Linked DNA regions of Pelodiscus sinensis. The protein of the gene in region 1 interacts with the protein of each later gene in a biochemical or structural test. Links are inferred from orthologs where the notes say so. Each region holds a gene or a part of one and is shown on either strand. Other genes may lie near its edges. The genes, in order: SATB1 and PIAS1.

What was found.
Region 2: the proteins of SATB1 (region 1) and PIAS1 form a complex in vitro, tested with the Homo sapiens proteins (2 studies listed by BioGRID, with this or other methods). The link is inferred for Pelodiscus sinensis from reciprocal best matches to the Homo sapiens genes SATB1 and PIAS1.

What each region holds. Positions count from the first base shown.
Region 1 is NC_134712.1:192,365,150-192,369,065, reverse strand, and holds the start of SATB1 (DNA-binding protein SATB1), read right to left. Parts: upstream 2,747-3,916; 5' UTR 2,616-2,746; coding exon of another isoform or gene 2,612-2,615; intron 1-2,611. UniProt on the Homo sapiens protein: Crucial silencing factor contributing to the initiation of X inactivation mediated by Xist RNA that occurs during embryogenesis and in lymphoma.
Region 2 is NC_134724.1:3,147,700-3,151,615, reverse strand, and holds the start of PIAS1 (E3 SUMO-protein ligase PIAS1), read left to right. Parts: upstream 1-896; 5' UTR 897-958; coding exon 959-988; intron 989-3,916. UniProt on the Homo sapiens protein: Functions as an E3-type small ubiquitin-like modifier (SUMO) ligase, stabilizing the interaction between UBE2I and the substrate, and as a SUMO-tethering factor. Catalyzes sumoylation of various proteins, such as CEBPB, MRE11, MTA1, PTK2 and PML.

The DNA.
Region 1 (3,916 bases):
GAATTATGGTGCTTTGAAGACAGCACCTTGTATTTAGTTTAGTACTATTTGTAACCACAAGATCTCTATAATAATACAGGGACAGGTGCTTATCAGGTGACCTTATGGGCCTACACTGCAAACGGTAACCTGTTCAGATAAAAATGATTATTACAATCTTTGGCTAATTAGGGAGATTCTCTCTTTCTTCTTACTCTGCAAATCAACATGTACCATTAACAAATCACAGATTGACTTTGCCTGTTTTATATTTCTCTCTCAGAAATAAGTATCAAGGGGACTTATCCTTAGATAGGTCTTGTTAAAAGAACAGAAGACAAGGAGGAATGCTTGTGGAGTAACTTAGCTATTTAACAGTTCAAGAACAAAGAATATAAAAAAAGAAACTAACTTTTTAAAAATGCATGAACAAAAAACATTCCACTTAAATATTTTTGTCCCAGTAAACTCATTTTGCATACAAAGAACTATTATTTATTACACATTTGCACTTGTGGGGAAAAGGAGGAATGCACTGATTCTAGAAAGAAAATACTATACAGGCTTTTTGGAGACTTCCCTCTATGTTCTTGTTTTACTTAGATTACTGTTTTTCCAGGGAAAAGAGGAATTCCTTGAAGTCAGTTGTTTCTTTTACATTAGCTGTTGGTATTCAGGACGGGGTACAACTGCAGACAATGATTTTATTTTTGTTATAGAGCCTTGTAATGTATGTGGGCTATCAATTGATATGTATATACACAAAACATATGTATGCATACATACGCTATCTTTTTACATTCACTTTTTACTGTACATGTTTACACATTTGTGTATAAAATATTTCCACTTGATAAGGGAGATATTAAAATCTGAAATAGGAAATGTGTATATAAAGTGTATACATAATATTAACACTGTAAGTGTATACGATGCACATTACAGCCACTGTACTATATTCAAGTCTTTACACAGTATGCATACAGTTCAACTTTCTTTATAAAATAATGCACCAGAATTAATATCGTTATATCTGGTGATTGCTTGAAAGACTTGAAGAGATAGGGAAATATCCAATCCAATCCCTGTATTAACTAACATTACAATTTTACACTTATTGTAACCTTTTCTAACAATGTGAGAAAAACAGAGTAAATATATTAAATTTGTTTCACAACAGATGCTTAGGTTGTTAATATTTAAGATGCTTATTCATGCTATTCCTGTCTGCACATTTGTCAAAAATGTAAGCTTGAATGCTAATGTTTGCCAGCATACTGAAGCAGACAAATATATACTAATGTACTATACCAAATGATATAAAGTAGAAATAAAGGGCTGCTGCTAAATCCTGCTGCTAACCCTAGTACTGTCTACTACTAGAACCTTAGAGCTGTTGAATCTGAAATTGTGAATTATTTCCATAGGACAATTACATTAGGTTTGACTGAATAAAACTGATTATTGGCTTTTTCCATTTTTTTCTTCATTTTGGGTGAAAAGCTGTTGTAAAATATTTTAACACAAGTTTTCAATGGGATAATAAGGGTTTCTCTGTCAGTAACCTAAGCACTTTAGATTTCTGGGACTAGCAGTATAAAACTTGGAAACTTGCAGGTGTCTGTCATTGGTTCTTCACCCTAGAACTAATCAAAGATTTCACCAAAAATGTGATTATTAGAGGAAGTTTTCTGTTGGACTTTTAAAAATATCTAAGGTATAAAATACTTGATTTGAATTATTTTCCTTTGAACTAAATGAACCTTATATAGATTGCAAAACGTCGTTTCAAATGAGGCTCTGGGGTCTTTTAAACTTTGGCAGTATCTCGGTGGGACGCTTTGGCTAACGTACTTAAAACTACCAACTTAGGGGGGATTGTCTAAGTGCCTGTTCCCCTGTGGGCCCTTCGCTGCCTCTTCATGGACCAAACCAGATCTGAAATGGAGAACGCCAGGGGAAGGAGGTGCAGAGGAGAAGAGATAGCGTACCTGGGCTTACTGTGCTTCCTCACCACTAAGGTCACTGACACGCCAGCTGCCACGACGCGTGCTGCGAGGAGAAACCTTCCCCTCTCAGAGATCACTGCCAAAGTTGATCTTTTCCGCCTCTCTCCTCCCCCTTCCCCCATGAAGCCTCGCAACACACGGTCTTCAACAACTTTGCGTTTCAGGTTAAACACGTCGGCCAAGTGCCCCTCAACACAACCCAGCCCACGCACGTTTAACAAATGCATCTTCGCAGCGCGCCAAACCCAGGCAACCTGTCGCCAAGGCGGCTGGCACCTCCCGAGCCCAGCGCGTTCTCAGGGGAACGTGGGGGGAAGTTTGCCAAACTTTCAGGGAACTTGCCTTTAGGGGAAGGGGGCTACCGGGCCAGTGACTTCGGCTCTGCCCCTCCGCAGGGGTTCAGCAGCCGGAGCCGAGGCAAGACTCCCCCCGCCCCCACGCACACCCCGCGTTTATGGCACGCAGCCCTGCCAAGGCAGCAGGTGTGTGGAGCCCGGCTCGGGAAGGGCTTCCCCTCCACGCTCCCGAGCAGTGCTCCGACCCACAACGTGACTTAATAAAAGACCCGAGGCGCGCTGGGGGGGGGCGGGAAACCGGAGAAGGAGGAAAAGAGACCTACTCACTCATGAGAGCGCCGCGGGCGAGGCTGGGCGACACCTTCAGCTTCCCAGGCGGCGGCGAAGTTAATCGCGCTGAAGTTCAAGTTGTCTGTTCCCCCATCGGGAGTGGGCGTCTAGAGGACGGAGAGGCGGAGGGGGGGAGCCACGCACGCCCGCCCGCCCCCGTTGCCGAGCAGCTCCTCAGGAGCAGCCGGGGTCGGCAGCAAGGTACCAGCGCGGGGCCGGCGTGTGCCCGGCTTCCTCTCTCTGGAGCCCTTGGGCGGGGAAGGACGCCGGGCGCAGGCTCCAGCGAGCGAGCGGAGCTCGGCCGGAGGCTCCGCACCCGTGCGCCGTGTCTCGCTGCCTCTCTCCCCCTGGCGGACGCTGCTCGCGCCTGTGCCGGAGCCGAGCTGAGCCGCGGCGGCTGCTGCTGCTGCTGCTGCTGCCCTCCCCGGGTGCGCGGTGGCGGCAGAGCCGGGCTAGGGCGGGGAGAGGCTGAGCGCCGGCGTAGAGCGGAGCCGGGAGCCGCAGCCGCGGGAGCCGGGTGTGCGTCTGGCGCTTGCTCGGTCCCCTTCTTCTGGCCGGTGTGTTTTGGGGCTGAGTTGGGGAGAGTGGTTTGTGTGCGCGCGTGTCTCTGCCTCCCCCCGGCTCGCGGTGGAGGAGGAAGTCAGGTGAGAGACAGATAATCCCCTCCCAGCCCCTGTGCGATGGGTAGGAGCTAATCACTGTTGTTGTTGGGCTGCTGCTGGTTGTTGTTTTTAATGCTATTATCTTGCCTCCCCCCCCCCCCTTCCCTCCCATCCGCTCCTGGAGAGCAGCGCCCCTCACAGGAGCACCGATCACCCCCCCCTCCACGCGCGTACACACACACTCTCTTTTTCCTTCCCTCCCCCCTCCCTCCGACTCATTTATTTCAATATTTATACCCCCACATGCTTGGCTGTCAGCTGCTGCTGGCTTCGTGCGAGTGAAAGGATGAGCGAGCAGGGGAGTTTCCGAAAAGGATCTGACAAAGGTGATCAATATTTTAAGGGTCAGATCGCAATTGGGACCGGAGAAGATGGGAAAGCTCAGGGCTCCCTCCCTCTTTCCAGATGGGCCGCGTGCGCGATCCTCTGCCCCGGCCGCCGAGACCCGGGGTGGGGAAAGAACAAGCTGGCGCAGATAAAGTTAATGGAAAGTGTGTGCACGGTGAAGTGACTCTGCAATCTGTATTGAATATGACAGCAGGCAACTTGTATTGACTTTAGATAAAGGAGGAGGGGGGGTGTTGGATTTTTTAGTTTGTGTGGATGTGTGTTTGTTTTTGCAACCATTCCACTTGTCAGA
Region 2 (3,916 bases), on another chromosome or scaffold:
AGCACTTTTTGAAAGTCAAGGACTTTAAGGTGTATCAAGTTAGTCATTCAAAGTCATCTGTCACTTAAATCTTGGCTTAAAATTATCATTGAAGGAAGAGCCTAAATTCTGCATAAAATTGATTTCTCAGTCCTTTCGCTCTTTCACCAAGAACATTTTTTTTTTCTCCCAATGTTTTGTGGATAGATGGTCCTACTACCCCAAACTCCTTGGGAATTGTACTGATTACTAACTCATCCTATTAACACTGAAATGACTGATAGTGCCCAAAAGTCTATCATTTTGAACAAGTGACCTAAGAGCAAAAGAGGCTTTTGTCCAAGTTACCAATTCTATTTTATGCTCATGTTCAGTGCTGGAGGATTTAAATACATTTAGTTGTTTGACTCAAAATCAGACATGAGAAGTTGATTTTTTTTTTTTGAGAATTGCTACACGGTGACATAGTATAAACAGGACTGGTTGGAAAACTGGATGGTATAGCTATGATTTTGGACCTTAACATTATGGATACTGGGTAAAATACAGTGTATTATGCTAATCACATAGAATTGTGTAGACATGAATGATATTGGGTGCTGGAGGACATGGAATGATAGGGAAGTGTAATAGATGACTGGGAAACAACTTAGCGTCAGTGCCTGGCCACTGTTTTTAGCAGCCAGTGAAGGAGAAAGTTAAAACCTAGCGTGTTGAGAGAAAGAGAGCATAGAGACTACAGCAGTATGTTAGCAAATCAGGACCATGCTGGTGTCCTGTTCTCATACTGTCCCCAGTCATCTCTGGGCTGAAATTTGAGATCACCTTTGAGACAAACAGTGGAAACTGATATTTCTCAACATTGGTGAGGTTAGTCTTATTATATTCTTATATTCTGGCACTTTTGCTCTTTTTAGAACGGTGATCTTTCCAAATAAGAACATAGCTGAATGAGACGCCTATCTGAGTATCTGGATTCATGCGCCTCTGTGGTAACAGTCATTGCAACGTCAGTAAAAAAAGTTTATTTGTTTTTGTTTGTTTCCTGAAAGTTGTTTTCAAAGGACTAATTCTAATATCCCACTTAAAAAAAACCCATGGTAATGATATATAGTTCATTAGGGTTTCTTGCACCCTCCCCCCAGTTCTCTTTTTAATAGTAAGTCTTATTTAAATTTGCAAAGTGGAAGCCTAAATTTGTATTTAGGAGCAAGGGAATAGATAGATTGCATCAGATCCATAATCCTTCTGCTTGTGTCTCAGCAAGAAACCCTGCAGTGGCAGATACGAGAATCTGCCAATCTAGTAGTTCCTGCAGAGTTTGAATAGTGTGCAGTAAATAAAGCTTGGGTCCATATGTTGAAAAATGAGGAAACAAAATATTGATTACCTACTCACTACATAAACACTATTCAAGATAGGGATGTGAACGTGTATCCAAGTACACGGTTAACAGATGAACCTCTCCGTTACATGCATCTCCTCCTCCCTCTCCCACTGCTGCCTCCAATACAGAGGCAGCATCGTGGGGGAGGGGGGAATTTTAAGCCAGCTTCCTGCGCATACCGGCTCCAGACAAGCCGCCTGTCTTTCCCCCCCAACCTCCCATGCTGCTCCCTTCCACAAAGGCAGCAGTGGGGGGTTCCCCACAAGCCACCTGCATCATGCAGAGCCACCTGCCCCTGTGCTACTGCTTTTTCAGGTATCTAAAAGGATGTCCTAAGGAGGAGGGAGAAAACGTGTTCATTTTGGCCTCTGAGGATAGAACAAGAAGCAATGGTCTTAAACTGCAGCAAGGGAGGTTTAGGTTGGACATTAGGAAAAAGTTCCTAACTGTCAGGGTAGTCACACACTGGAATTCATTGCCCAGGGAGGTTGTGGAATCCCCATCTCTGGAGATATTTAAGAGTAGGTTAGATAAATGTCTATCAGGGTGGTCTAGACAGTATTTGGTCCCCAGTGGTGGGGGGACAGAGATTGTGCTCGCAGGGAGCCAACTTTTAAACTGGCTCCCTGTGAGAATTGGCTCCCACCCTCACATGTGTAAATGTTGTAACTGCTGAAAAATTCAGGGGTTACACGTTTACACAAATGCATGCATTTTAACGTCCCTAATTATAGGATCACATACCATTCTTTGCATAGACCCCCATCCTGCGTTAAAGACTGTATCGTAATGCAAGGCTGGGGGTGCCGACAATCTTAATTTGGGCCCATGTTAACTTTTGAGCGCTTAAGTTTGCAATTTTAATGTCGTTTTAATGGAGGACTTTTAAATTGTGATTTGTAACTTCCTGGGTTTTTTTTCCAAATTGCTTTTTAAAACAAGTTCTATTGTGTGGCATCATATTGACACCCATATTATTGGAACCAATAGTTTTCCCCCCATGCAAACTTCTGCCACTTGAACTAATGGTGGAGGCGAAGAACATGTTACTGCTTTGTGGACCAGCAGTAGAGGATTATGGAAAACTTTGACATGTCTGTCAAATCCACTGTGCTAATAGCAGAGGAGCAGTGAGACTCTAGATTCTTGAATTCTATTCCAGGCTCTGCAGGGGACTTTGCTCTTGTTGACATAGGGCTGGCCCACAACATTTTGGCACCTGAGGTGGGGAGCTCAAATGATGCCCCCATGTCCCCTCGCTTGCCAAAACTTTGAAAGGTCTCAATTCTCTGGGGTCCTAGTGTCAACCCCCCACCCCCAGTCTGGCACCTGATGCAGCCCCTCTGTTCACCTCATGGTAAGGCCAGCCCTGCATTGGCGTGAGTTCTTCTGTTTCCCCTCCGTGCCCCAACATGACTCCTCTGCCCTGTCTCCTTCAACCTATCCCAATCCCTGCTCAGCCAGTCCCAGTTTCACTGCTCAGGCTTCTCATCACAGGCCAGACTCCCGTTCCCGTTCACCGTTCCAGTCTCCTTGCCAGACAGTCCCAAATCTGGGCCCTCCCTGTGCTTCTTCATCTGAAGTGTCTCTCTCCTTCCCTGCCTTGGCCTCAGTAGTGGAACCACAAATGTCATTTTGGGTCACCTAAGGAAGTGAATGTCAAAAATATTTTCATTGTGCTGTATATTGTCCACAAAACACTTCACATATCTTTTGGAAAAGATACATTAGAAAAATCTGCTCCTTATAAAAGATGGGTATTTAAAAAAGTTACAGGTTCGAAAAGGGTTATCTGATTAAATGGCTTAATTAGAGGTAACTTATCATGCTTCCTGGAGATCAGAATGAGTGGTCATTCCCCCACCCTCCGATTATGTAATTTACATAGCTATGACTTTACTAGTGTGTCTGTTTTTTGTGTATATTATCTTTGTATAGTGGGACTGGTTTCCTTTCATTTTAAACATTTAGAAATTGCCACTTTTGTTTGTGTAGTTTTCTGCTTTGCAAGACTAGGTTTTATTGATGAATCAAACAAATAGATATTTCCAATAGGTCTTGAATGTATCTTTTGAAATCACTCTGTCTGGAGAGCCTTTGGTTTAAAGGGGTACTGACAACTTAGAATGTAGTCATTTTTAATGAAGAAGTTAAGTGGTTATTGGTTTGTCACCTGTTCTGCCTGGAGTCTCTTTGCCAGTTTTTATACATTCAAAAAGAATTATGTGGGTTTTTCTGCTCTCCCCTGTATTGTGGAGAAAACAAGGGAAATTGACTACAAAAGAAACAAACTAACACTGATGCTGCTAATTATAGTCATCTTAGGGGTTCCTTATGACAAAAGTAGCCAAACTTATTTAATAGAGGTGATTTTTAAGCTTAGGGTGAGGTTTTCCCTCAGTGAGTATTGGCATTTGAAGGAAGTATTTTACCCACTGGAGAACTCCACAGTCAAGCGGTGGAAATATGCAATCGTACTAAAGGGCTGTAATGTTAAAGTCAAATGCTAGAGTAAAAGGCTTTGGCACAAATCAATAGACTAAACGGTAA